Linked DNA regions of Saccharomyces cerevisiae S288C. Changing the gene in region 2 together with the main gene of any one other region gives a genetic interaction. Each region holds a gene or a part of one and is shown on either strand. Other genes may lie near its edges.

Evidence for each region.
Region 1: mutations in YMR084W (region 2) and YML020W together harm fitness more than expected from each alone (negative genetic interaction), as found in Saccharomyces cerevisiae (one large-scale study listed by BioGRID).
Region 3: mutations in YMR084W (region 2) and PUT2 together harm fitness more than expected from each alone (negative genetic interaction), as found in Saccharomyces cerevisiae (one large-scale study listed by BioGRID).
Region 4: mutations in YMR084W (region 2) and NRS1 together harm fitness more than expected from each alone (negative genetic interaction), as found in Saccharomyces cerevisiae (one large-scale study listed by BioGRID).

The regions. Positions count from the first base shown.
Region 1 is NC_001145.3:228,828-233,643, forward strand, and holds YML020W (uncharacterized protein), read left to right. Parts: upstream 1-2,321; coding exon 2,322-4,316; downstream 4,317-4,816. Other genes in the region: adenine phosphoribosyltransferase APT1, read left to right, coding at 110-673; UNG1 (uracil-DNA glycosylase), read right to left, coding at 907-1,986; OST6 (dolichyl-diphosphooligosaccharide--protein glycotransferase), read left to right, coding at 4,630-4,816.
Region 2 is NC_001145.3:434,943-443,269, forward strand, and holds YMR084W (putative glutamine--fructose-6-phosphate transaminase), read left to right. Parts: upstream 1-1,685; coding exon 1,686-2,474; downstream 2,475-8,327. Other genes in the region: alcohol dehydrogenase ADH3, read left to right, coding at 1-973; YMR085W (uncharacterized protein), read left to right, coding at 2,549-3,847; SEG1 (Seg1p), read left to right, coding at 4,266-7,148; PDL32 (putative ADP-ribose 1''-phosphate phosphatase), read left to right, coding at 7,585-8,327. UniProt on the Saccharomyces cerevisiae protein: Involved in amino sugar synthesis (formation of chitin, supplies the amino sugars of asparagine-linked oligosaccharides of glycoproteins).
Region 3 is NC_001140.6:176,400-185,888, reverse strand, and holds PUT2 (1-pyrroline-5-carboxylate dehydrogenase), read right to left. Parts: upstream 3,913-9,489; coding exon 2,185-3,912; downstream 1-2,184. Other genes in the region: MSC7 (meiotic recombination directing protein), read left to right, coding at 1-1,014; RRF1 (Rrf1p), read right to left, coding at 1,131-1,823; BRL1 (Brl1p), read right to left, coding at 4,129-5,544; GTPase-activating protein NEL1, read right to left, coding at 5,778-7,670; PIH1 (Pih1p), read left to right, coding at 7,890-8,924; YHR033W (putative glutamate 5-kinase), read right to left, coding at 9,070-9,489.
Region 4 is NC_001144.5:243,492-251,216, reverse strand, and holds NRS1 (Nrs1p), read left to right. Parts: upstream 1-2,790; coding exon 2,791-3,117; downstream 3,118-7,725. Other genes in the region: OSW2 (Osw2p), read left to right, coding at 239-269, 357-2,500; IES3 (Ies3p), read right to left, coding at 3,264-4,016; FCF2 (Fcf2p), read left to right, coding at 4,240-4,893; EMA19 (Ema19p), read left to right, coding at 5,145-5,630; MLO50 (Mlo50p), read left to right, coding at 6,045-7,331.

The DNA.
Region 1 (4,816 bases), 210 kb from region 2:
CTCATTGGGAAGGTAAAATGCATCTTGCGTCTGACTCAATATCCATAAAATCTATTTTCACGCATTTTGCCTGCTTCAAAGAAATCTATCGCAAATATTCCTACTAATCATGTCTATAGCAAGTTATGCCCAAGAGTTGAAGTTGGCTTTACATCAATATCCAAACTTCCCTAGTGAAGGCATTCTCTTCGAAGATTTCTTACCCATTTTCAGGAACCCAGGTCTTTTCCAGAAGTTGATCGATGCTTTCAAACTGCATTTAGAAGAAGCTTTTCCAGAAGTTAAAATTGATTATATCGTCGGGTTGGAATCCCGTGGGTTCTTGTTCGGACCAACTTTAGCTTTGGCCCTAGGTGTTGGTTTCGTTCCAGTCAGGAAGGCAGGTAAGCTACCTGGCGAATGTTTTAAGGCTACGTACGAAAAGGAGTACGGTTCTGATCTTTTTGAGATACAGAAAAACGCTATTCCAGCAGGTTCCAACGTTATCATTGTTGATGACATTATTGCCACTGGTGGTTCTGCTGCTGCAGCCGGCGAATTAGTTGAACAACTCGAAGCCAACCTTTTGGAATATAACTTTGTTATGGAGTTGGATTTCTTGAAAGGCAGGAGTAAGTTGAATGCTCCAGTGTTCACTTTACTGAACGCTCAAAAGGAAGCGTTGAAAAAATGATATGTTTCACGTCCTGACCCATATTCAAGCTTCCTTTCTGCCGGTTTCAAGCAATTTATTTTTCTTACTTCTCCTTACTCTCTCAATTTGGTTGTATAATATTTACTTTTTAGATTGAAAAATATTCAATCCACTTTTCTGCTTTGTGCCACAAAGTAGTCTATTTAGTTTTTTATCTATTATATGCTTTTAAAGAGTTTGGAAATCGAGACCTGCATATGCAATAGTAATATTCAAGGGTCCTTTGATTCTGACTCTAAGCGAGCATTTGCCTCCTGAACTTCTCTTAATGACGTTCCAGGAACAACACTCCAGTCTATCATTTTCTCTCCGCGGGTATTGTATAGCCAATCGTTTATCATTTTGAAATGGTTGGTACCAAAAAATCCTCTACTTGCACTTAATGGAGACGGATGCACTGACTTCATCACCATGATATTAGGGTACTTACTACCGCTTCCAACGGAAGTAGATCCCAACAGAGACTCTACTAATTTGATAGCATTGTTCCCCCATAAGAGGAATACTAAACTCTTACCGTCGGCCTCTCTGTCCTGGATCAACAACTGAACTACCCTTTTTGTAAAAGTTTCCCAACCATGCTTAGAATGCGAGTTTGCATTATGTGCTCTTACAGTTAACGAGGTATTAAGCAATAAAACCCCTTGTGAAGCCCAGTGAGTTAAATCTCCCACTTTATTATCTTCAACAAAATCAGGATACTCTTGCTTCAGTTCCTTATATATGTTCTTTAATGACGGTGGTGCTGGTGTAGGGGGTTTGACGCTAAAAGCCAAGCCATGCGCCTGATTAAAGTTGTGGTAGGGATCTTGACCGATAATCACGACTTTAACTTTATTAAAAGGCGTTAGCCTGGTCCATGAGTAAATATCCTTTGCAGGCGGAAATACTGTATGATCAGCTTGCTCTTTAGTGACAAACTGTTTCAACTTTACAAAATATGGCTTTTTAAATTCATCCATTAAATGTGGAAACCACGAATCATCAATCGTTTCTAGCTCCAGCGACAGTAGTGTACGTAAATTGCTGCTCAAGTTCTTCGAATATACATCTTTTGCATTTGAATTAGCAGGATATTTGTCCGTGTTTGCCTCCTTTGCGACCGCCTTTGTCTCTGTCTTGATAGCTGCGCCATTTGTTATGGTCATGAAAGTAGCGCCCGATTTACCTTTCTTATTGGGCGCCTCATTAGTGCTTTTCTTTGTACCAAAGAAGTCTTCGATCGTAGTTTGCTTTCTCTTTCGAGCCACCGTCATAACTGAATTTGTTGGCAATCTTCTCATGCACCACATGTATGTGAACGGCTTGTGTACAGCTTCTGATAATATATATCATTATGGATGAATTACGCGTTGCGGACACATTCCAGGTTTTGACAATAGGGAAAATATTGAGTTTATATGTAAAGCTTTTTACAAGTCACTAATGTGAACAACGTGAGGTAATTCCATGGAAAGTTCATATAAGAATAGTTCGAAAACTATCTTTTTTATTCCCACCAGTCACTAGATTCGGCTTTATACATATAGTGGGCTTATCACTGCTCTTGGATAGCACTTTTGCACTACAAATAGACACCATTACGAAGAATTGGAAGAGACTTATATACAGAGTACCAGTAGGTAGAATGGTCACGACTCCATTGCATTCCTCGCCGAAAAGCAGTCTGAAATCTTCAACGACCTCACTGCGCTCAGTACATACTCAGTCTGGTCGTATGGGGCCTAGTGAGCCTAAGCACAGAACAACCAAATCCTGGTCTATATGGGGAGGTAATGACGAGGAAGAACCGGAGTTATCTAATAAAAATAAAGGAAAGGAAACCGCCCAAGACAACAGTCAAGAAAATGACAATGTTTCAAATGAGGGAACACGCTTGCACGATAATCAACAAACAACGATTTTAAAGGAAACCACCAGGATCGAGAAGGGTGAGAAGGACAAAAAAGACAGAAATGCAGCTATAGTAGAAAAAAACACAAGACCACGAGCATGGCCATTCTTTTGGGGCCGTAACAAAAAAGATCCGGAGCCGACGCATAACATTCCCACTGATGCGGATAATAACACTTTATCACGTTTAGCAAATAGTCTAAATCCGGCTCCTCTAACCAACACTTACATACCTTATAAACCTGATGCTATATTGATCAGAGATAAAGGTGTCAAAACTGCTAAGAAATTAACAGATGACATAGGCAATCAGTTTCCTAACATTGTTGTACCAAGTTTCGATATTTTACCGAAACAAACCATATGGAATACAGTCACATCCACAATTTGGAAGTGGAAGACTGAATACTGGGATAGAAGACCTTCATCAAGGGTACGAGAGGGGGAAGAACAGGTGCAGCACTCACAAAATCAGTTAAAAGAGGAAACAAACACAGTTGCAAACGAGGCAAAAGATGAGGAGCGGTTGGAACACAACAGAGGATCTCTATTTAGGGTTGATCCATGGAAAAAAATAAACCTTCTATCAGATTACCAATCTAGGCCCATCAGAGTTCTCATTGTCGGCGTTCATGGGTTCTTTCCAACAAAAATTATTAGACCGTTTATTGGTGAGCCAACGGGTACATCTACCAAGTTTGTCACAGAAGCTGAGGAAATAGTGAAGGAATATTTTGATCAACATAAAGTACCCATTGAAATAAGCAAGATCGCTCTTGAAAGAGAAGGAGAGATATTTGATAGAGTAGATTTCTTCTACGAAGTTATGAAGCATTGGAGCAAAGAAATAAACAATTCTGATTTTATTTATTTTGTTAGCCATTCGCAGGGGTGTCCGGTAACCATTATGCTTTTAGCGAAGCTGATCAAAAACGGCATAATAAACCTTGATAATTCTCAATTTTTCAACGATGAAATTCAGTTTTGTTCGTCCAAAAAAATTATCTCGGTCTTGGCCATGGCAGGTATCAATAATGGTCCATTCTACGGTGCAGATCAAACTTTGTTTGTTCGTGCTTACCAGACGATTGAAAAAGACTCATTGAGGGAGTTATTCGAGTTTCAAAAGTTTGATTCCAAACAATCGCAAAGCTTCATAGAAGGCCTAAGAACAATCATATCAAATAACGTTAAGATTACATTTGTGGGATCCATCAATGATCAACTGGTCCCTCTGTATTCATCCACATGTCTTTTTGCCAACCATCCCAATATATTTCGGGCCATTTTTATTGATAGAGGATCACAAACTCCAGCATTTATCACTCGCATAGTTAAAATTGCTGGTTCACTCTTAAACCTGGGTTATAACGATCACGGAATCATAAAGGAAATAAGCGGATCTCTGGCGGGCACCCTGACAGGAGGTGGTCACTCTACCATTTATAATGAGAAACAGGTCTACCATCTGGGCATCAAATTTGCATTAGAAACAACCGATTTGTCCGAAATGTATCCAATTGAGTACTCACCATATAAATTGTCTGAGTTAGGAGCCAACCCCTATCGTCTGCCATGGTGTATGAGGGGATTGATGTACGAGTCCAACAAGCATTTCAGTAATGAAGAAATCAAGATGTTGTTTAAGGAATTTGAGGAATGGGAGCCTGAGACAAAGCAATTGAAGGACATAAAAAACAGGCTTAATGGTTTGAAATATCGACTCTGATAAAAAATACATCCAGCATGATACCAGCTTGCTTCCGCAAACGAAACATAACTTAAGGTACCGCAATTCAAAAAGGCATTCATACGTACAAATATTAACTATATCTGACATTATTTAGACTATCACAAGCAGTATTTATTTATTTATTTACTTATTTATTCATTTATTCATTTCCTTTTTAGTCTTTTATGCCAGTGAGCTACTGTCGCGAATTGAAAACTGCAAAAAAATAAAATAGGAACTTGGATTCAGAAGTTTTGATAATAAAATTGCATGTAGATGAGAGCCGCGAACTGAATCATACAAAAAAAATATGAAGTGGTGTAGCACATACATTATTATATGGCTCGCCATTATATTCCATAAGTTTCAGAAGTCCACAGCCACTGCATCCCATAATATAGATGATATTCTACAGTTGAAAGATGACACCGGTGTGATAACAGTGACCGCTGACAACTACCCACTGTTAAGCCGTGGTGTCCCAGGTTACTTCAATA
Region 2 (8,327 bases):
TGTCCCCGAGCCTAAGCCAAATGAAATTTTAATCAACGTTAAATATTCTGGTGTATGTCACACCGATTTACATGCTTGGCACGGCGATTGGCCATTACCTGTTAAACTACCATTAGTAGGTGGTCATGAAGGTGCTGGTGTAGTTGTCAAACTAGGTTCCAATGTCAAGGGCTGGAAAGTCGGTGATTTAGCAGGTATCAAATGGCTGAACGGTTCTTGTATGACATGCGAATTCTGTGAATCAGGTCATGAATCAAATTGTCCAGATGCTGATTTATCTGGTTACACTCATGATGGTTCTTTCCAACAATTTGCGACCGCTGATGCTATTCAAGCCGCCAAAATTCAACAGGGTACCGACTTGGCCGAAGTAGCCCCAATATTATGTGCTGGTGTTACTGTATATAAAGCACTAAAAGAGGCAGACTTGAAAGCTGGTGACTGGGTTGCCATCTCTGGTGCTGCAGGTGGCTTGGGTTCCTTGGCCGTTCAATATGCAACTGCGATGGGTTACAGAGTTCTAGGTATTGATGCAGGTGAGGAAAAGGAAAAACTTTTCAAGAAATTGGGGGGTGAAGTATTCATCGACTTTACTAAAACAAAGAATATGGTTTCTGACATTCAAGAAGCTACCAAAGGTGGCCCTCATGGTGTCATTAACGTTTCCGTTTCTGAAGCCGCTATTTCTCTATCTACGGAATATGTTAGACCATGTGGTACCGTCGTTTTGGTTGGTTTGCCCGCTAACGCCTACGTTAAATCAGAGGTATTCTCTCATGTGGTGAAGTCCATCAATATCAAGGGTTCTTATGTTGGTAACAGAGCTGATACGAGAGAAGCCTTAGACTTCTTTAGCAGAGGTTTGATCAAATCACCAATCAAAATTGTTGGATTATCTGAATTACCAAAGGTTTATGACTTGATGGAAAAGGGCAAGATTTTGGGTAGATACGTCGTCGATACTAGTAAATAATAGCGTGTTACGCACCCAAACTTTTTATGAAAGTCTTTGTTTATAATGATGAGGTTTATAAATATATAGTGGAGCAAAGATTAATCACTAAATCAAGAAGCAGTACCAGTATTTTTTCTATATCAAGTAGTGATAATGGAAATAGCCCAAATTTGGCTTCCGTCGACACATAGAACGTTTGAGAGACATTATCACCATCAAGCATCGAGCCGCCCAAACCTAACCGTATAAGTTTTTTCACGTTTTTGATTTTTCCTTGCACACTTCGATATTACTCTCACGATAAAAGGGCCGAAGAGAATATTTTTCTTGAACATCCAGAATTTTAATTCGGAGAAATTTCACAAGCCGCCGATTTAAGGGTCCTGTGTTCTTAATAATCAGCCTCTCTCAAAGCAGGTAAGAGGCAGTCTTTCTTTTAACAATAGGAGACATTCGAACTAAAACATCAGCCCCAAAAATGCGCTTGAAGGTCATTAGGATTTGGATTTCTTCCTCATTTTTAAAGGCGCCCCTTTTCGTTTTAGTCATGCTGGGCTAGACTAGCACGTAGTGTATGGAATCAAACTGATGCCGTCCCCTGAATTATATTTACAATTCAGAAACGTCTTTGAACATTTATAATTAAATTATAAAACAAAAGGAATTTGTAAAAAAGACTTTCAAAAGATGATCCAATAAACTAGATTAAAAACCCAATATAAGAAGAAGAATGTGTGGCATTTTTGGCTATTGCAATTTTTTAATTGAGAAGACAAGAGGAGAAATCATCGACACTTTAATCGAAGGGTTACAGGCATTGGAGTACAAGGAATATGACTCCAGTGGAATTTCGATCCAAGGTGATGAGCTGGAGTCTCTCAATATTTATAAGCAAACCGGTAAAATAAGCAGTTTGAAGGAAGAAATCGACCTTTACAATCTTAATAAGAACCTGCCCTTTATTTCGCATTGTGGCATTGCCCATACTAGGCGGGCAACACATGGAGGGCTAAGACGTGCAAATTGTCATCCACATAACTCAGATCCATCTAATGAATTTGTTGTGGTACACAACGGGGTTATTACCAACTTCGCTAATTTGAAAGCCTTATTGATGGCAAAGGGCTATGTGTTCAAAAGTGACACTGATACCGAATGTATTCCTAAACTGTACAAACACATTTATGATACAAGCATTGAACTCGGGTACAACCTCGATTTCCATGTATTAACAAATTTAGTACTTAAAGAATTGGAAGGCTCTTATGGTCTGCTATGCACTTCTTCTCATTTTCCCGATGAAGTGGTTGCCGCAAGAAAGGGTTCCCCGTTAGTTATTGGTGTTAAAGGTAAAACTGACATGGACGTAAACTTTGTCGAGGTGGAATATTTGGATCAAGAAGAAGACTACTTGAAGCTTAATACTCAAACCAAGAGTTCTGGTAATGTCTTGGCTGCCGCACCTGTAAAATATAACACTTGTTTAAGGAAGTCACCCCCCTTCGTTCACAATACCTGAGAAACTCTACAACTTCTACATTCAATCATGGCTCATCCACAGAAACGCCAGCCGAGAACGGCTTGCCGCGACCCATGGAATTCTATTTGTCATCCGATTGTGCATCACTAGCGCGGTATGTGAGTAAAGTAGTATATTTGGAGGATAATGATATTGCCCATATCTATGATGGGGAGCTTCATATCCATTGTTCTAAAATTGGTTCCGAGGACTTTTCATTTAGAACAGTTCAAAAATTAGAATTGGAGTTGTCCAAAATCAAAAAAGGCCCTTACGATAATTTTATGCAAAAGGAAATATACGAGCAGTGTGAAACAACAAAAAATGTCATGAGAGGAAGAGTTGACGCCTTTACAAACAGAGTAGTTTTGGGAGGACTAGAAAATTGGTTGACAGAATTGAGAAGAGCAAAACGAATAATAATGATTGCATCCAAGGCCTCCTTCCATTCATGCCTAGCTGCCCGTCCCATCTTTGAGGAGTTAATGGAAGTTCCAGTAAACGTTGAATTGGCCTTGGATTTTGTTGACCGCAATTGTTGCATTTTCAGGAACGATGTTTGCATATTTGTTTCTCGAAGTGGGGAGACAACTGATACAATTAATGCTTTGAACTACTGTATCAAAAAAGAGGCAGTCACAATCGGGGTAGTTAATTGCAGCGGTTCCTCTATCTCAAGATTTACACATTGCGGTGTTCATACAAACACAGGCCCCGAGAAAGGTATTGCAACAACCAAGTCTTATACTTCTCAATACATCGCTTTAGTCATGATTGCCCTATGGATGTCGGAAGATTTGGTGTCTAAAATAGAAAGGAGGAAAGAAATAATTCAAGCCTTAACTATAGTCCCAAGCCAAATAAAAGAAGTTTTGGAGCTTGAACCATTGATTATTGAATTGTGTGACAAGAAACTAAAACAGCATGATACATTTTTGCTTTTAGGAAGAGGTTACCAATTTGCCTCTGCTTTGGAAGGCGCCTCGAAGATGAAAGAAATTTCTTACGTGCATTCTGAAAGTATTCTTACCAACGAGCTAGGACACAGAGTCCTAGCTGTGGCATCTGATAATCCGCCAATTATCGCCTTTGCGACAAAGGATGCTTTTTCGCCCAAAATCGCGTCTTGCATTGACCAAATAATAGAAAGGAAGGGCAATCCGATTATCATTTGTAACAAGGGGCATAAGATATGGGAGCAAGACAAACAAAAAGGAAACGTTGTTACACTCGAGGTACCCCAAACCGTAGATTGTCTCCAAGGGATACTTAACGTTATTCCTTTACAATTAATTTCTTACTGGTTAGCGATCAAGAAAGACATCGGAGTTGATTTGCCAAGGGACTCGGCGATGTCGGCCCCGGATATATAAAAAAGTGTTCTTTAATTCCTTCTAATTTCATTAAAACAAGTACTTATATTTTGGGCAGTATGTAGAATAGATGTTCACACTCTATAGCCAAATAACTTAATTATTGGTCAAGGTAATCTCTTGCAATTGGTGTCACTGCCACATCTTTTAACGTCAACAGTAAATCCGCAAAATCCCGTCGCGTCGCCGCTAAGCAGGCCCAATTTTAGCTCACTGCGGCAGCGGGCTGGCCGTGTGGCGCGAGGGTCAACATGCAAAAAAGGACGATAGATAACCTTAAAGGAAGTATTCATTTCTTCGCTAAATTTTCAGTGCTCCCTTACTTTACCGACAAATTGGATAAAAACATATAAAACACAACAGCAACACGTAGCCATACCAACCAATTCCACAAATCACCAGCCGTTCGTTCCTAAAAATGTTTAGAAGAAGAACAACTGCACCAGAAATGGAACAGGCGGACCCGACAGCAGTGGCAGCTGCAGCAAGTATCGGTAAATTATTAATGAAGAAGGGTAATCAATCTGATAACGAACAAAGGCCGACCTATCGATCCGCTTCGATGACAAACTTAAGAAAACCTTCTGCCCCCAAAAGAATGTCTTCTATTTCTAGTATATCATCGGAATCTAGAAGGAGCGATGGTAAAGGTCGTCCCGGGAAAATAAACAGCCTTACCCAACGGTCATCAATGGGGAAGGGAGATTCATTAAATTCTCCTTTAACGAAGGAACCGCAGCACAAAACTAGGTCTCACAATAGAACTTCGAGTCTCCCTAACCAGAGAGGTCAGCAAAGCAGAAACAGTTCTGGTTTACAACGTCAAAAGTCCAAAACACACCAAAGAATAAGCTATGATGAGGCTCAACGTACGTTCAAGGATTTTGGCGGACCACAGGCCAGAGGAATTTTAACGGGACAACACCGTACTGAAAATCCTAGCGGGTCTATTCCTTTGAGGACTACGCGAAAGTATATTCCTGGGCCCAACGGGCTGGTTGCAATTGAGGTCCCCGTTGAAAAACCAAGCAATGCCAATACTTCTAAATTGCTAAGGCGTTCCAACTCTGCCCACAGTGCCTTGAATGCAAGAAATGGTTCACTTTTAAGAAAAAAAGTATCGCAGGAATCTTTACATTCTCAACCAAAGAAGACTTCGTCTTTAGGGAATACATCAAGTACACAAGCAAAAAAAGGCCAAAAGGCGGTTCAGGAGAGAAATCTTGCCAAGAAACATCCAATAAATTCAAATGTTCCTCTCATTGAAACACAAGTTCGTGAAGAAACAGACCAAGAGTTGAAACTTGATAATTCTAACTCTTCCGAATCCGAAACAGTAGTCAATAGCGAAAATAATCTAGAAAAACCTTCTTCACTAAACATTGAAAAAGATGATCTAAGCAAACTAATACATGAAAACATTGAGTTAGAAAGTTTTATTGAAGAAAAAGGGAAGGAAAAACCTTTAAATTCTGATCAAGAAGATGTTTTCATAAGCGAAAAAACTGTAAAAGGCGATGTACAATGGCCAAAAAATAACCGTCAAGCATCTACTCTTGAGAAAACTTTTAATTACGACAACGAAGAGAAGAGGGAGGGGAATAAACCAGTAGCAGAACATCCTCTTCCGGAGGCCGAAGTGGATGACAAGTCGGTTGAACAACTGAACAACATTTCTTCTAGCGGCAGTTATTCGGCCCAAGGATCAGTTGAAAACTCCAAACCAGAAAATGGCAATAAAAATCTAGAGAATGACACAACATCGTCTCCCACACAAGACCTTGATGAAAAATCCCGCTCAATAGAAGAGAAGGATACCTTGGAAGGGACCGAGAGTTCAAAAAAAGTTGAAAAGCCAGACAATTGTTGTGAGAAAATTTCTGGTGCTAATACTTCTTCCAAAAAAGGGAATGTTGGCGATACTAAGGATGAATTCTTCGATACAGTAGAAGAAAGCGATCAGAAAACGAGCAAGTCGAATTCCTCCAAGAACACCGATCATTCTAATCAAACAGAACCAACGCCTTCTTTGGCTCAGTATTTAAGGACCTCAAATACCTACCTTTCTCGAAAAAACCAATCGAAACAAGCTGAGCAAGAAAAGTTTCACAAGCCTGAAGCTCCTATGGTTCCTGTAACGAAAGTAGTTACACCAATCAAATCTGCTCTTAAAAAATCGTCAGGATCGTCCAACCATGACTCATCCATGTACTCTGATAACTCTCCCGCCAATGGCGCATACCTGTCTCTTACGACTGCTGAAAATACGAGATTAAATGCTCAAATGACGATGTCCGACAGCGTATCACGCAGAGCAAGTTTAAAACGATCTTCTATAAAAAGACCTCAGTCAGTAGGCCAGTTCAGAAGCATCAGATCAAATTCGCCTTCTCCCCCAGAGAAAATAAACAATAAACGCCATTCTGCTATACCCCTAGGAACCCCAGAGAAGGGTAAACCAAAAAGAAATTCGGTTATGGCTTCTCTGTCTAAAAATTCGCAGCAAATTCAAGAGCCCGCAAGTGTATATGAGTCAAATGGCCCAAATAAACCTAAAAACCAAATCAATAAGAATATAAAGAGAGGATCACAGATCGCGCAAAACAATAAACCTTCAACGAAGGACATGAATAGTATTTTGTACCCCAAAGAACCACCTCCTCGCAAATCTAGTTTTGAGAAGACGAGAAGCAATGAATCCCATCTCGGATTTAAAAAGCTTTCTTTGAGAAATGGTAATTTTGAGGAGGCATTGAGTGAAAGCTATAATGGGCAAGCTAGCCAGAATAGCACAAATGTGAATCGAACCGATACAGCACAGGAGTTTTTCAAATATTTGGGTCATTCATCAAGATTTGCGGATTCAGACTCAGAAGATGAGTCCCAATTTTTCAACCAAGGCCCATCAAAATACAACACAGAAACAGAAGGCAATAAAACCAGCGGTAACAAAAATAGTAATGGTGGTAACGGTGCTTTTTCGCTTTTCAAGAGCAAAAGTAAGCAAAAGGAAAATAATGTGGTTTCCCCTGGAGTCTCAAGTCCTAATCATACTACCACCGATCCTGCCATTACAAGTAAAAAGGTGGACAAGAAATTCAGCGGGTTATCTTTAAGAGCTGCCAGTGAAGCTGAACCTGCAAAAAATTCAAACCCTTCGATGACCAATAGGTTACGCTTCTCTAGTAATCCAGAGAACGGCGAAAGCAGGCTCCCACAAGCACAGGAAGTCAGCGTTACAAAAGAAAAGAAGGGTAGTTTCGGCAAAAAACTGAAAAAAATCTTTGGTAGAAAGAAATAGGGACTCTCGGCAGAAATTCTCTCCTTGTACAAGTTATGTATTTTATTCTTTTTCGTGCTCGTTCAACTTCTGAACGATGGCTTCCATGCACTGTAACATATAAAGGATTTTTTAATAATGAATAATCAAGAAATCTCCATTTTATATGCTTTTTTTTTTTTGCCGTTTCCACTGCAATCAATGGCGATATAATCGGATGAACAATAAATATTCGTGTTCCTATTCGTGTTCCTATACGTGTTCCTAGCAGCAAACAATAACAGAAGAGAAGCATTTGATTTTCGTAAAAACTTCAGGTGTGGGTGTTTCTTATTAACGGTTAAACTTTACGAATTGAATCCCCTATGTATAATGGTCCATAATACATCTTAAACCACCAAGCCATCTTCGTAATTTTGAACTGGGAAAATTGGGAAAACTGCAGACATTCATAATCATGACAGGATCTTTAAACAGACACTCACTTTTGAACGGGGTAAAAAAAATGAGAATAATATTATGCGATACAAACGAAGTAGTTACCAATCTCTGGCAGGAATCTATACCCCATGCATATATTCAAAATGATAAGTATCTTTGTATTCATCATGGGCACCTTCAATCTCTTATGGATTCAATGCGTAAAGGTGATGCAATCCATCATGGCCACTCTTACGCAATTGTTTCACCTGGTAACTCGTATGGCTATCTTGGAGGAGGGTTCGATAAAGCTTTGTATAATTATTTCGGGGGAAAGCCCTTTGAAACATGGTTCAGGAATCAGCTTGGAGGAAGATATCACACGGTCGGATCTGCTACAGTGGTTGACCTACAGCGATGTCTTGAAGAGAAAACAATTGAATGTAGAGATGGTATTAGGTATATTATTCATGTTCCGACCGTTGTAGCCCCATCAGCTCCTATATTTAATCCGCAGAATCCCCTCAAGACAGGGTTTGAACCGGTTTTCAACGCCATGTGGAATGCCTTGATGCATTCTCCAAAAGACATTGATGGTCTTATTATTCCTGGATTATGTACTGGGTATGCAGGTGTACCACCCATTATCAGTTGCAAGAGTATGGCCTTTGCGTTAAGACTATATATGGCGGGAGATCACATAAGCAAAGAATTGAAAAATGTGCTGATCATGTATTATTTGCAATATCCGTTTGAACCTTTTTTCCCGGAAAGTTGCAA
Region 3 (9,489 bases), on a different chromosome or scaffold from region 2:
CCTCCAACTGAAAATGATGATTCCGCAAATTATTTCACCTCTCATCCTGGTTTCAAACATATCACTTTTATTGGCAGTCAGCCCGTAGCGCACTATATTCTAAAATGCGCTGCCAAATCATTGACACCCGTAGTTGTGGAGCTTGGTGGTAAGGATGCGTTTATTGTCCTAGACTCAGCTAAGAATTTAGATGCTTTATCTTCTATCATCATGAGGGGTACTTTCCAATCATCCGGTCAAAATTGTATTGGTATTGAGAGGGTTATTGTCAGTAAGGAAAATTATGATGATTTAGTCAAGATTTTGAATGACCGTATGACTGCAAATCCACTACGCCAAGGGTCTGATATTGATCATTTAGAAAATGTTGATATGGGGGCAATGATATCTGACAACAGATTCGATGAACTAGAAGCTTTGGTTAAAGATGCTGTTGCAAAGGGAGCTCGTTTACTTCAAGGTGGTTCCCGCTTCAAACATCCAAAGTATCCACAAGGTCATTATTTCCAACCAACTCTTTTGGTGGATGTCACTCCAGAAATGAAAATAGCACAAAACGAAGTGTTTGGCCCAATTTTAGTCATGATGAAAGCTAAGAATACTGACCATTGTGTACAACTAGCCAACTCTGCGCCATTTGGTCTAGGTGGTTCTGTGTTTGGTGCGGATATCAAGGAATGCAATTACGTCGCAAATAGCCTACAAACTGGTAATGTAGCCATTAATGATTTTGCTACATTCTATGTTTGTCAATTACCATTTGGTGGTATCAATGGTTCAGGTTACGGTAAATTTGGTGGTGAAGAAGGTCTTTTGGGTTTGTGCAATGCCAAAAGTGTCTGTTTTGATACTTTGCCTTTTGTCTCCACTCAAATTCCAAAACCATTAGACTACCCTATTCGTAACAATGCTAAGGCTTGGAATTTTGTAAAGAGTTTCATCGTAGGAGCTTATACAAATTCCACATGGCAAAGAATAAAGTCACTGTTCTCTTTAGCTAAAGAAGCCAGCTAGTTTACTTTAGAGGAAGCAACAAACTTATCAATAATTTGGTATTTATTATTATATAAAATGAACTTTTTATGTACAAGATTTATGATTTTTTGATTCTATACACGTTACGAAATTCCTCATTTTACAATGCTTTTTTCAACTTTCTGGAATTGGTCATGAAGCTTGTTCACGTAATCCTTATGCAGTTTTTCCAAATCCCTCTCAGCTTTTCGAACGGCATCATCCTTTTTGAAACTTTTGAATTCCTTTAGAATACTGCCTCTGATAGTTCCTAATGAGTCTTTTAGCGATGACTGCTTATATTCTTCAAATACTCTCTTTAAGTCTTTAGCTACTTTTAACCGGGATTCTGTAGTTGGTGGTGGTAACGAAACTTTCAATTGCAAATCGTTATTTGGGACCCTTTCAGGAGTTAAATTCAGGTTCGCAGCAAGCACCCCACTGATCACAGTTTTCACATCTTTGGGGTCGAAAACTGTTATTAAAAGTGCATTTTTACCTTTCAAGGATGTGGTAGCAATATCTGTAAACTTTCTGTTATTTTTGAACACTAAACTATTGAATACCTTAGGATTAAAATTTCCCTGTTTTATCTCATTCATTTTCTGTTTTTGAATTTCTAAAGTTTTTTTGAATTGAGTTTCTGCCTTTTTCAGCAGTTCATTCACGTCAATTTCATCTTCTTCGACTTTCTCAGTAGGGGTAGAACTTTTTTTCTTCAAAATTATGAAAGATTGACTAAAAGAACGATTAAATAGACGAGGAACGGTGACTGGTCTACAATTTAATCTAGCTGTGGTTAAAATCATTATTTCTTGCTGTTATTTTTCTTGTCAGGGACTGCTCGCCAAAGTTTCCATCTTTAAGCTTACGAATGGACGTATTTAATAAATTGATGTTCTGTTTCCGGACGGGTCCTTATGCCAAAAACAGAATGAATATGCGGCGAATAAATAGCAACGTGAATAAGTAAGTCATGACAGAATATAGAACGGGAATTTGGACGGTTGGTTCAATGAATATTTTTAAACTATTTACCTAGATAAATTAAAATTGTAAAACTAAAAAAACCTAATGAAGTAATCAAAACCCTTTTTTCGATAATCTAACATTTACATGAGTTGATGGATGAAGTGACTGCATTCGCGGTTCTATTCCACAAAAATTTTTTTATTCATAATTCGATGGATATTTGAAATCAGTCAACTCGTAGAAGTTCTCCTTTGTGTTTCTAATACTGACAAATCTGCTTAAAATGTTTGGACCACCAGCCTTATCGTCGGTACCACTCATTCTTGCGCCACCAAACCATTGCTGAGAAACAACGGCACCAGTACACTTATCATTTATGTAGAAATTTCCTGCGCTAAACTTCAACTTCTCATCTGCGTATTCAATTGCTTTACGATCTTTGGCAAAAATAGCACCAGTTAAGGCGTATTGACTCGTATTATCGATAATATCACAGATTTCATTAAATTCAGTATCTGGATACTCGTAAACAGTTAATATAGGGCCAAAAAATTCTGTTGACATATATGGATGATCTGGTCTCTTGGCTTTTATGACTGTGGGTCCGACAAACCAACCTTGGCTTTTATCGTATTGTCCACCGTAAAGAATTTCCAACTCGGGGTCTTTCTTTGCATCTTCAATTACTTTAACTAATTTGTCGAAACTTTGTTCATGGATGACAGGACCCATAAATCCCCGCAAATTCCCACCAGAAATTGGACTTGCGGATGTGTTCATTGGGACAACATTCTGTGACTGCAATATGCCAAACATATCGGATAAGAATTCTTCACTTTTTGACTCTGGAAGATATAACCTGGAAGCGGCAGAGCACTTTTGGCCTTGGAACTCGAAAGTGCCTCTAATAGTAGAGAGTACTGCATGTGATATATTTGCACTTGGGTGAACTAGATGGAAATTTTTACCACCTGTCTCACCAATAATACGGGGGTAATCTCTGTACTTCCCTTCAACAACGCCACTTTGTATTTTGCCATACAAACTCTTAAAGACATTTGTAGAACCGGTAAAATGCAAGGCACCAAAATCTTTATCAGCTAATACCTGGTCAGTAACTTGAACTGGATCACCTGGAATGAAATTTATGACACCCTTTGGCAATCCCGCTTCTTCCAAAACAGTCATCAATAAGTAATTTGAAAGGGCAGCGGTTTGTGAAGGTTTCCAGACAACTGTATTACCCATCAAAGCTGGAGCCCCAATCAAGTTTGCAGCAATAGCAGTAAAGTTGAATGGTGAAACAGCATACACAAATCCCTCTAAAGGTCTGTATTCAGCTTTATTCCAAGTACCATCCGCTGACTCTACGGGTTGTTGAGCATACAAGTCTGATGCATACTTGACATAGTATCTAAAAAAGTCAGATAATTCCGTGATACAGTCGATTTCTGCCTGATACACATTTTTTCCCTGGCCCAGCATTGTAGCAGCTAACATGTCATAACGATACTTGGTGGAAATTAAGTCAGCGGCTTTCAAAAAAATTGCAGATCTGTCATAAAACGGTAGATTGTACCAATCCTTTTTGGCATCCTTGGCGGCTTTTACAGCATTCATGACATCTTTTTCCGTGGCTTGTGTGACGTTTGCCAGTACTTGTTGATGGTTCGCAGGGTTAGTCTGCGGGAAAAGCGCTCTTTCATTATTGTCATATATCCTTTCCCCATTGATGACCAGTGGCACTTCTAAAGAAGAACTTTTGAATTTCATCAAGGAAGCCCTCAGTAAGTCCCAGTCTTTTAAGTCTATGTTTCTAAATGGCTTAACAGGTTCATTTCTTATGTGCTTGGGGGGCTTGATGTGTCCCAGTTGTGAGAAAGATCTCTTGAAGTATATAGATTTGAGGCACCTTGCTGATAGCATAATTCCTGTGAATTTGAATTGGCCTTCTATACAATATAGATTATATTAACTTGTTTGTATTATTACATATTTTCCATGGATATACTTCTGGAGTAAAGTCAGCTGTCCTGTCACCCTTATATAGTAGGCCTATCCAATTTTTGTCGGCTTCGGAGTTGGCTTCCCGAGATGTCCGATGGCGTAGATAAGCATTGTTACTGTCCCAGATAGCACAATCTATTGCTTAAGTAGGTGTGAGTCCTCTCCAGATGCTGTCATAGATGAGTGTGTTTCTTCTGATGTCGGCGATTTCGGTGAAGATGGCAAGGGATATGTTTTGATGCCATTGCCATAGTAGCTCTTGGCTCTTACAAAACCCAGTAAGAAATTCGAACTGAAACACCAAGTTATCACACCACAAAAAATAACAAATAGTGTTTTCCAGTTTAATGGATCTATGAATGAGTTGATAATGTCTCCGAACAATTTTGCGCTCAACGTTGATCTTGCACGGAAAAAGATATCGTTATTTCTGTCCATACACTGTTTCCATATAGCACATTGTTCGCCCAGAGCCGGCAAGCCAGGCGTCTGGTTACAACGATTTGTGAGGTACTGCTCTTGACAAATTCTGGATTCGTACTGCAGTTCATGTTTTCTTTGTTCCCATGTGGATTTCAAGTCCTTTTGAAGCGCTATGATAAATGAGAGTATAAAACTAAAAATCACTACTGTAGTGATCGCATTGAGAAATAACTGTAAATATGACATTAGGGCATATGACGCTCTTGATGCCGGATGTGAATTGGGTGACCATGGTTTAGGCAACTTGAAAGCTTCATTTTGGTCGTAAAATTCATCTATTTTATTGTGATTTGGTTTAGTAAGAGAATAAGTTTTAATGCCGTCCTTATCTGAATAGAAGTAGTTGTGTGTATTGAATGAAACCTGAATTGGTTGATATTTTGATCTTGATCTTAATTCCCTCTTGATTATTTCCGAATCGAACGCATTTGCGTACTGGCTTGACTTGTGGTTGCCAAGTGATGATTTGATCTCATCTTCGACTTCTTCATTTCTGATTATGTCTTCACCCTCTGCGTTGTTATTCGAACTTTCATTGTCATCTTGATTGGCCGATGGTGGTAATGGCACAACACCTTCAACTTTAGTAGCTGCGGCCACACCTAAATCGGTCGGTGATAATAATGCCTTTATGACAGTTGAACGATGCGGTGAAACAATGTTCTCGACCTCTTCTACACTTTGGTCTTGGCTTTCATTCTTCTCTTGCTTTTGTCTTTCTTCTGGGGTAGCCTCGATTTCTTCCACCACGGCATTCTCAGTCGCTTCAGTATGAGTTTCGATTGGCTCGTTATTATATTCTTCTTCAAAACTTGTATCATCAACCTCATCTATTTCCATTCGGTCATCTTCTTCCTCATCAGCTTTAGCAGCACTAAAATCCAATGTATTTCGCAGAGGTGATGGGCTCGAGGGAAAATGGGGCATAAATCGGTTGATAAGCTGTGGTGACAAAGTTGGCCCCTGCTTAGATATACTTAGGTCGGAGAGGCCTCCTAACTCCTCGTCAACGTGTTCCATTCCGCTAGTGAAACTGTCTCTTATGCTCAAATTTTCAAAACTTTCCATATGGAAGATCCTATATAACGTTATAATACAACTACTCAATAAGCAAGTATTGCGATAAACAAGCGACTATTTGATGAGATGCTATACCTTTGATGAAATTAAGGGCCCAACTTGCTTTTGTATCTTCTATTGTCTTAGGGAATTTTGCTCTATTTCATCTAAAGTTTTTTTTTCTTTACTTTTTGTTTTCGCCAATACAGGCGTCGCAAAGTGCAGCAAGAATATTTAGCGAGTTATTTGCTTCCACTTAGATCGGTGAACAAGTTGAAATATTCATTGAATGTCATATCCTCTGTACCAAGAGTTTCCTTGTCAGTGATGTCCAAGGGAATAATTTTGCTTTTCAAGAAACGGTCCTGACTGCCACCGGTTTTAGTTTCAACATATAATGGCTGCGGAAACCTTTGCAAGTCATTTAAAAGCTTGCAACAGAGCTCGCGACCTTCTTTTTCCAAAAGTTTTCCCCTTCTTAAAACTAAGTACGAGCCACCATCTACACAAATGGTGGTTTTATCATCTTGAAGTATCTGGGCTCTTGTTAATGGGACATCCAACACGATCCAGTCGTGTTTCAAATCACTGTAACTCCAGATGAAGGGTTTGCATAATGAAAGGCATGTGTCTTTAGAAGCGTTTATTATTCGGTGAAGAAAAAGGTACCTTTCATCAGGTGAAGTATTCCGAACCGATAGAATTGGAGACCTATATATATGATAACACCACTGTATCAGATTGACCATATCTACGTCTTTTCCCCGGATTTGATTTGGTAATAGAAACAATTGCTTCATCAATTCTTTAGTGTGCTTGGATGAGTAAGCAAAGCTATCGATAATTCGTGAGGCTATCTTTTTCATTGAAAACACAATTTCATTTTGTGCCCCAAATGATCTATTGGCTTTTGGCAATAAGAGGGTTTCAATTCTTATGTATTTTTCCGTTTGATTTTCAAAAGTGGTTTGAAACTGTATAGGAGCTTCAGCTGAATTGTGACCTAGTGAGATTTCTAATGGTAGAGAAAGGTTTTTAGGGTTTAAGCTATATTTTGGGAAGTCCTTAACGACAATAGCGTTCTTTGCGGTCATTATCTTTGAATGACAATTGTAAATGGCATTATGGTCACGCAAGTTCAGGTACTTTTGAAAAGACATTGCGAATCTCTCATCATTGAATGAATCAAACTGAGAAACTGCCATTGACGAAGTTATTAATGGACTCATTTCGAGTATACCGATTTGATCCAATGAAGCTATAAAGAATTCATAGATTAACGATTGGTTTGCAAATTTTTCAAGCATTTTCTTGTAAAATTTTGTCGGACTTTTTGATAGTTGCAATTGTGAACTTTTGGATTCAAAATGGTGGTTTTGTCTCATGCTTTCACCACGTTCTCTTGACATAACTTTGCCGCCACCCTTAGTACATGGACCATTCAGGAATGAAACTATATGACAGTAGGCTGACAAACTGCACTGAGACGCCAGTACGGATGAAACGAACAGCGCTAATCCGGTGCAACGCTTGTCCCTTTTAGAACTGATATTCACTTTGTTTGCAATCTTGCATATTTCCCGTAGCAATTTTCTTAAAGAACCCTGAGTAGATTTATCAAACCAGTATGATTCTTGATTGATTTCTGAAATTTTTTTCTCGAAGTAACTGGCATTTAATTTATCAAGATTATATTTGGTCATAAATTCATTTATTGAAAATACAGCATCACGTCTGTGATTCACAGCATTGTGTAAAATCACATGACCTGATTGCTGAATAGTAATTATTGATAGTGGCTCTTGTTGTCTTGTGATGTAATTATTACATAGAATGGAAACTAAATAATTTAGCTCATGAGGATCGCAAATAGCGTCTATAATCATAATGGTCCGTCTTGAAAGTATTTCTTTCTTTGCAGAAGTCAATGTATAGGTGTTGGAAGGTACCAGTGGCAATTCAGCATTTGAGTTTGATTGGTTGCAGAATAGACAAGTCCAAACATTCTGTTCTCGTAGGGAACAAGCCATCGAATAATAGGCGCCACATTTGGTGCATTTTAGATTTTGGTCATAGTTCTGCGTCACAGCATCGCTGGAAAAGGGCTCATATAAGAAATTAGTTGGAGAACACATAGGCACTTCCTTGGCCAAATTTGGTGCTAGATTGCAGTATTGTACAAATACAGGATTCAGTACCTGATCACTATTTTTACTCTTGATATTTTTTTTCCTTAAAAAAAATCAGAAGACAATAATGATAGAAAAAAACTAGGAATTCTTGAATTCATATGCATGGAAGAAAAAGGAATACAGGGAACAGACTTTTCAAAGCGAACAAACAGACCTTAACCGATGGCCGATTTCTTATTGAGACCAATTAAGCAACGTCATAGAAACGAGGACAAGTACGTGTCGGTGGACGCTGCAGACGGATCGGTGTCTAAAATTGAGCCCATCGCAGATTTTGTAATTAAGACAAAACTATTATCCGCTAATGGGCCGGAAAAACTGCAAGATGGCAGGAAGGTGTTCATCAATGTTTGTCACTCTCCGTTAGTGCCCAAACCTGAGGTCGATTTTAATGCAAGGATAGTGTTCCCGCTCATCATCCAAAACGAATGGGAGATTCCTATTATTACATCCTGCTACCGCATGGACCATGACAAGAAGGGGCAGGAGTGCTATGTGTGGGATTGCTGCATAAATAGCGATTGCTCGCGCTGGATATGCGATGATATCCAACTGCGAGAGATACTGGTCGAATGGTGCTTGGAGTCATGTGAGATCCGAGATTCGGTGGTATTGTGCAGAGATCGCATTGCATTCCCCAAGATGAAGAAGAAGGGCGCTGAGCTTCCTGCACTAGAGGTATTGAATGATGAGTTACATCAAGATTACAAGGCAAAAATGCATAAAATCATAGAAGAGGAGGCCGGAGACCCGATGAGTATATTGAGAGGAAGGAATGACGATGGCGATGATAATAATGATCCCGACGATGGAACACTACCACCATTGTTCCCTATCGAGAACAAAATCTCCGGAGCCAAGATAGAGGAGATTGATAAGAACGAGATTGCTCACAGAAACCTGAAACAGGCACCTGCACCTGCACCTGCACCGCACGAGCAGCAGGAGGACGTGCCGGAATACGAGGTAAAGATGAAGAGGTTCAAAGGGGCCGCCTACAAGCTGCGAATTCTTATTGAGAACAAAGCTCCGAACTCGAAGCCGGACCGGTTCTCTCCGAGCTACAACTTCGCAGAGAATATTTTATACATTAACGGTAAGCTGAGCATACCTTTGCCGCGCGACATAGTCGTGAATGCAGCAGATATCAAGATTTTCCATATCCGCAAAGAACGCACACTATATATATATATATAAACTAACATTTCGAGTATTCTTTTGGTTTTTGTTGTGACTAATACGAACGAATATATAAAAGCGGGAAAAAGGAGAGAGATATGATGTGCATCTATAACAGAATTTTTTTTTTTTTTTTTAATCCGGTAAAAAAAAGGGAATATTCTCAAAATTGCGGAGGGAAAGCGATGTTTTCTCTATGTGCTACGTATTCACTCACACTGTAGCCCAAAACATCGTGAATCTTCTCACTGGGTAAGCCCTTGATCTTCGCAAGCTCCAGACTCGTATAATTGGAGCGGACGCATCCAACAGACTGAATCGGCTTCGAGATATCCAATTCGCCATTGGGTAACCGCTGGCCTATTTTGAGATCAACGCATTCAAGTTCGTGGAAGTTGTCTCGGACTTCGATCACGGCGTTTGGAGTCAGACTAGCCATATCCTTTGACAAAAGTTTATCATAGCTGTTCTCGTCGATGATAATGGCGCCCTTGGTAATGAGCCCGTGCAGAATCCAAAATTCCCTGTTCTTAAGCTTGTGTTTGTTGTCATTAGCTAAGAACTTGGTGTGCATGGGAACATC
Region 4 (7,725 bases), on a different chromosome or scaffold from region 2:
TTTATTTTTTTTTTTTTTTTTTCAGGGCCACTGATCCCTTCATTTTGTGTCAGTAATTCAGGGTCCGGGCAGACAAAGGCATATTATACTATCAAAATTTGAATGAAAAGTAAAATGAATGGAGTTAATAATACGCTTCATATTAACAAAAGCACATAGACGCACGATACAAATACTAGTTCAAATTGTATTCCTAAGCCTTTCTTTCTTTTTTTGAAGGCAAGAACTCGCATTAGTTATGGAAGAAAACCAATTAACGTGCTTAATAGGTATGGCAAAGAAGTTTAAGAAAACAGACATTCGAACAAAAATTTACTAACATATAAATGTAAATTTAAATTTCCTTTTTTTTACAGTTGGAGAAACACCAGCAGCACAATTTCTAGGATGGAGACTAAGTTTGAGCAACTCTTTTATAATACTGGTCTCGCAATATGTGTCTAGTGACGAGTTAGTTGCCTGGAAATCGACAAAACTAGGCGCCAATTTCTACACGCCAAACATTCTCACTAAGGATATTAAAGAGCTGCACCACAAATTAAAACATAACGGTGCAAATACGTATTCAATTGACATTGTGTTAGTGTCTGCAATTTCCTTACAGTCTTTCGAAACAACTTGTCGATTGTTGTCAGATTACACGAACGACAATACGACTGTGCTTATTAGCACTGATTTTGGTTGCGAACTGGAGCCCATAGCCATAAGTTATTTTGGAGGGAAGTGCAAGTGTGTTATTTCCATTTCGTGTGAGGTTGAATGCAGACAGTTATCGCTTGGATCATATGCATTGGTCAACGACGATCAATGTGTAATAACTTTGGGATTAACTTATTGTGATGCTAATTTTGAAGCAAGTCCAACCATTCTGGAAAACACGAAAGCAGCTTCGTTAGAATTGCAAGGGATTAAGGGTTCAAATGTTCGCAGGTTCCTTCTTGGATTGACCGTTGCGAAATGGATGAAATCTAAATTAATTTTGGACCCAAAACAAATGGCATTGAAAATGTGGGAATTGCTTATTCCTAAAATCTCACTTAACATCCTTTCTATCATCTATGAACAATTTGATTATGAGAAAATGTTAGAAAACAAATCCACAGAAATTATTTTTAAAGATCTGGTGAAAGAGTTACTTGGAATTTGCTTTGCACAATGTGGAAGCAAAATTGCAAGGTTTTTGCTAGTAAAATCACAAGGTGAAGAAGAGATTAATTTTGGGAAAATCGTAGAATATTGCAAAGGTAAAAAACTGCAACTTATCAACTCTACGGCAAACGAACATCCGGAATATTTATCCTTACCGTTTGAGCCTTATTGTTTCTACCACCGATTTGAATATCCTGCTCAAATTCTTTTGCATCAGCCCATCATTTTGGCCAAAAAGTATGGTGTTTCGTGTTCAAATTTAAATTTCCTATATGGATTCTATACGAGGTTACTGACACTAAGTGGGCTATCAATAAATGGTGGAAGGTGTGAGCATGCCTTGTCGATGTTGGACAGCAGGATTGGTGGTGGTATTAACGTTGCTTCAGGAATTAATAGCGGCCAAGATTTTACCGATGGTGATAACGAGGATCAAGATAAAGGCAAAAACAGAGTGGACAAAAATGTAAAGGAAGGTTCTTTCATTAGTTTAACACAACGATTCACGATGACAAGTCCACTGGGTGTCAATGATCCAGCTTTACCAGCGGACTTAGAAAAGTTGTATTTAGGTGCAGAATACATTAGCAATTGCGACGCAAATACATCTGGTGGTCAAAAACGAGTAAAATCTCCAACTAAAGCAGATACAGGCTACGATGATAAACACTTGCCTGATGATACGATACATACATTTGAAGATGAATATTTGGCCGATGAAGACGACTTTTCTTGCCTTGGAATTGACAAAAGAAGCTCAACAAAGCCCACAAAGCCTCTAGAAAAATTTGGAGTGGTTGCTGTGCCACACTTCATCAGGAGGTTTTCTATTAAAAGGTCGAGTAAGGATAAATCAAATGATATGAAAAGACCATATACTACAAGCAGCTTGGAGTTGCAATTAAGGTCAAATCACTTTATGTTCGCCAAAGAATACCAAGACTTACATAGACAATTATATTACGAAGTTAAACCAAGGACGCAATCAGAATTGGACGCAAGACGTCGAAACTATTCTGAATTAGAATCTCAGATGTGGAAAATTAAACATCGGTTCAATATTCATAGAGGAGCACTGCCTCGTCCACGAACGAATCCGTATGAGCTATTACTGGACCACATTGATGTTTTGAACCGTGGCAACACTGGGGATATTTTGAGATTTACCACTAGTAGATACGGTGGTGTAGATACGTATGATTCCATCTTGAGGGACCAATCCACGATCATGGAACTTTTAGATAAACGGTGTGCCTATTCACCTCCAGTACTGTTCGATAATGAGGCTAAAGAACGTGATCATGATCGCGATTGTTATCAAGATTACAATCACGACCACCGGAGTCATTAATATTAAAAAAAAAAAATGTGATTGTTAATAAGGGGTGGGATGCGCGAAATTCTATGCCTACAGTAGAAAGCGGTTGTTGCACAAATGATTAAATCTTTATCTCCAACTCACAATACTATCGCGATAGATGCATAATATGTGCAGCTTCTAAACAGCACGGAGTGATGATAAATACGCATATATGTATATATATATGTATGTGCATATGCACGTCCTTTTAAAACTCAAAATACAACATTCTTAGTAAATCCTTTTGTTGACACACGTCGGAACAACTCAGGACGGAGTTAATGGATATGCTTCATAATAAATGTAGTGATGCTATCAAAAGCACCTCCAATAGCAATTTGAGTAATGAGGTAGACAAACAAAAATTGCAATACGATGACCTCGGGAACACCGGATTTTCTGAACTATTTGAGATGGAATCTCAAGATAATAATGATAGCATAGAGGATTTCTTGTTCTTTAATATAAATTTAACCCAGGAGGTTGAGTTCGAGAACCAAAGACAATATGAGCACACGAAAAAGACAAAGAAGCATAACCCATTCTATGTACCGTCAGAGGTAGTGCGAGAGATGGTCAAGAAACACGCATTGAATGGCAGAATATAGTTAAGCCCGATAACACATTCTATTTTTCATGTTTTAATAACGTTTCATATATGAATTTTTCTCAAATATACGATATATACCTAAATGAATATGCATATGGAAGTGAAGTTGGGGATTTTGCAAACTTGTCTTATGTTAATCTTGGCTTAAAGAATGTTTTCCAAAAGGCCGTTCTTATTAATTTTTCTTCTCTTGGTTCTGTTAAATGCTAGTGAATTCGCATTGACGTTCGTTGGTATGGCTACTGCTCCGAATGCGATTGGATGGCTTGCCTTCCTGCCACGATTACTGAACAAATCGAGTTCTACATTTGCATCCAACAGTAGTTCTTTCAATATAAACCACTTTCTTTCTTTCTGTGAAAGTTTTTGGTACTCTTCAAGCAAGTTCTCTTGGATTTTGGTCAGTATATCAATTTTTTCATCATCTGATAAGTCAGGGTCCTCAGTTTCTTGGTCCTGCTCCGCTGCATTTAATGTTACAATTTGGTCATTGACAGCTTGTAAAAAGTTGTCATTCATAGCGTAAAGATTGTCCTTGTACAACCTTGTCTTGAGGGTGCTTATATCTATCTCATCTTGGTTAGCGTTCGTTATTACATTCCCTGGAGAATTCTTTATCATTTCATAGTTCATTTTCGATATGTCATCCACGGCAACAATGTGTCTTTTGAATGTCGTGGTGTTTGTGTGAGTGGAAGCAGTTGAGGCGGCATTTGCATCGGTAGCTGTAGATGGGGTCGAAGAACCTTGTTGATTCAAGCCATCTGCGTTATGAAATTTTTTGTGATGTGGGTCTTTCTCCAAGAAATCTGGAGTTTTGACACTTTTGTAATGTTGAGTAGCTGCATGAGCAAACTGCACCTGTTTATTGGTTGCCAAGAGGTCTTCGAACTTCATTGTTATGATTCCATTGAAGACAGCTATGTCAGTTAACAACGCAATTCCCCCTTTCACACGAAAACCTTTTCTCTAAACATCCTTCTCTTTTATCATAATTCGTGGTTAGTGCCGGCCTAAAAATTTTTCAGCATATTAAAACAGAAGATAGAAAAGAAATAGAAAATGCGATGAGACGTCAAGTTTTCCAATTAAAGAGGACGTGAGAAAGGAGCTGTTAAACATGGATCAAAGTGTGGAAGACTTATTTGGAGCACTAAGAGATGCTAGTGCCAGTCTAGAAGTAAAAAATTCAGCGAAGGAACAAGTTTCTCTTCAACAAGAGGATGTTTTGCAGATAGGCAATAATGATGATGAAGTAGAAATTGAAAGTAAATTTCAAGAGATCGAAACTAATCTTAAGAAGCTTCCTAAGTTAGAAACCGGATTTGATGCTTTAGCAAACAAGAAGAAGAAGAAGAACGTCTTGCCTAGTGTGGAGACAGAAGATAAAAGAAAACCCAACAAGAGCGACAAAAACGATAATGACTGGTTTACCTTACCAAAGCCAGATGATAACATGCGTCGTGAAGTTCAACGAGATTTATTGCTGATTAAACATAGAGCTGCTCTTGATCCAAAGAGACATTATAAGAAGCAACGTTGGGAGGTGCCAGAGAGGTTTGCTATTGGTACCATAATTGAAGACAAGAGTGAGTTTTATAGTAGTCGTATGAACAGGAAGGAAAGAAAGTCGACTATTTTGGAAACACTCATGGGTGATGAAGCTTCTAATAAGTATTTCAAGCGTAAATACAACGAAATTCAGGAGAAATCTACGAGCGGTAGGAAGGCACATTACAAGAAAATGAAAGAGATGAGAAAGAAGCGGAGGTGAGATAATGGAATTTTCTTCGCCACGTATTCCATATAGTATATTGTAAAGTGGTTTAGATTACATAGAAATATTCAAAAGAATTAATAATTTGCATATCGTTTAAAAAAAAAAAACCTTTGAAAACATAGTAAAGAATTATCGGCTTTTGTACAGGATACGAATTAGTAGGTATAAAAGGAACAACCGCAGCAAATAAGTACGAGAAACGAGCCACTCACGTGAAAACATATAGAGAAAAGCGACCGGAGATAATGAAGCTAGGACATCGTGAGCAACAATTCTACTTGTGGTACTTCATCGTTCACATTCCCATCACCATATTCATCGACTCATCAGTGGTTATTCCCGCTAAATGGCAACTAGGGATTGCGCAAAAGGTTGTTAGTGATCACATCGCAAAGCAACACGATTTCCTGCTATCAGAGAAACCAGAATGGCTATACTGGTTTGTAGTCCTTGAGCTAGTTCTGCAACTACCCCTTTTCGTCTATTTCGTCAATAAATTCTGGAATTCAAGCGAATTACAAGTTAATACAAATAGCAGATTGAAAAAGTGGTTGCGTATCTATGGCTGGAATGCCTCTCTAACTACCTTGATATGTATCGTTGTTATTTTCAAGCGTGGTTACATTCCTTACGATGTGCTAAAAACAAGCTTGTCCATGACCCAGAAGTGTCAGTTAGCCTCGGTGTACCTACCTACATTCCTAATTCCTTTGCGTTTGTGTTTTGTGTAGCCTGTGTCGGCTATATATACAGTATTAGTGACTATATAGTTAATTAGTGACATATGCCACTAGTTTTATCTAATTATTGTGCTGCGTTTTGCAGTATTCTTTTTTATTTGAAACGCGTCACAAAAGTTTCGCGTCCTTAGGGAAATGGCTGGTTTTTGTTTTAAAATAGTATATTATCCTTGATGTAATTTAGCAAGAGTGTATTGTAAGGGAACAGTCTGTTACTGCCATTCCCTCATCGCTAGATCCCCCTTCCCTCGCTTATTCCGTTACTTTCGCTTTACTGAGCCATAACCAAGCGCACGCATACATATATATATATATATATATTGTGCTGCACGTATATATAAATAAATCACGCGTACAAGGATACGTTAGCCAAATTCTTTGGATATAACAAAACAGCTACAACTCATGGTTAATAATATCATGCACGAGTACGTACCACCCAGTCAGCGGCTATTCCATAGCAGGCATAGAATAACAAGAAACGATTTGAAAGAAGAGGCCCTACATTCCGGGACCACAGATTGGACAACAATTCTGGACACAACAATAGATAAAGATACTAATCTCATTAGTTATGCTGTCCCCATAATAGACAACTTTGCCATTCCTCGAGCAAACTCTCAGGGGAGTCCTGTGGCCCCTTCGCCGAATCACAGATCAACGATGTACTCTTCTTCATCTTCTTCTGCGTCTTCTGTGTTTTCTGATGGTTTGTTTACTCCAAACAACAACAGGAACTCATCAGGATCATCTTCATTAGTCATTAGACCACAAAAAAATTTGAGTGTAGATTCTTTGATTCAGGAAAATAAAAGGAAAATCAATAGTGAAAAAGAATCGTTATCATTAATTGCCAATAATAACGATGAAACCTTGTGCACTCATACTGATCCATCCATACAAAACCTCATTAAATCGGAAACAAAGAGGAACATCTTAAATTTAAAGTTTCAAAATAGAAACTTATTTCGAAGAGAACTAAAATTGGAAAAGTTTTGGAGCAATTTGAGAAGTTGTCATACATCTGGCGATGAGACGGACCTGCTGTTGGTGATAAGTAAGCATAACTTATATTGGTTTGGGATACCGAACGATTTTCGTCTTCCAATATACAAGAGATGTTTATATCACTATAGCGAACTAGACGAAGCCGGATTTTTCAGTCAGTATGCGAACAACTCATTGTATCTAGCAATAAGGAAATGTTGTAACAACGAAGAGCAGGAAACTCTATCCCGGTCTATTTTCATCAATTTGACGAAAAACGTTACCTGGTTGAATAGTCGTTTCGATGACAATAAGGACAACAAGAATTCTTACACGGTTACTGAGGGGAAGTTCTATCAGGACTTTCCTAACTTATACTACCATTTAAAGGACAAGTTGAAATTAAATGTGATAATGGATTTCATCAAGCCTGTAATAAGAAATTTTATGACCAACGCATTGAATAAGCACAAATTAGATGGTATTGGTCTAGAACTTTTAGATATTCTAATAGTGACTACCTATTATGGTCCGAATAAAATCAATGCTTTCTTAATGGATACATTTATCTTAAACTTGCTAAAACAGTGCCATTACAAGTTTTTTGTCAGTAATATCTCTGAGCTGGTTATTCAAATTTCTAAAATCGATTGTGACTTAGTCATTCTGCTAGAAGATTTAAGGTCACGGATTGATTTAGATTGAGCAAGGGGTAAGAGAGAAGGCAGGTATTTCTCCTGGAAGAATATATATATATATATATGTATAACGAAAGCAAAATAAATACTCGGGTGAACCCGTCATGGCGAATAGTGCAAATTTAATTAATAATAAAAATGAAATATCAGAACTAAACATTAATTTAACTTATCTTCAATACTATAGATAGTCAGCCTTCCCGCTAAAGAATTTAATTATTGAAACCACTTACCTAATAAAAAAAAAAGCGTAATAATGGCCAAATGACTTGAATATAAAAGGACAAAAGCATAAACTTTTAAAATATTATAATTTTTGAATTTGGTTAAAAATTTTTATACTATGATTGCATTAAAAATACAGATAGATGATGACGCTTCAGAGAGAAGCAAATATATAT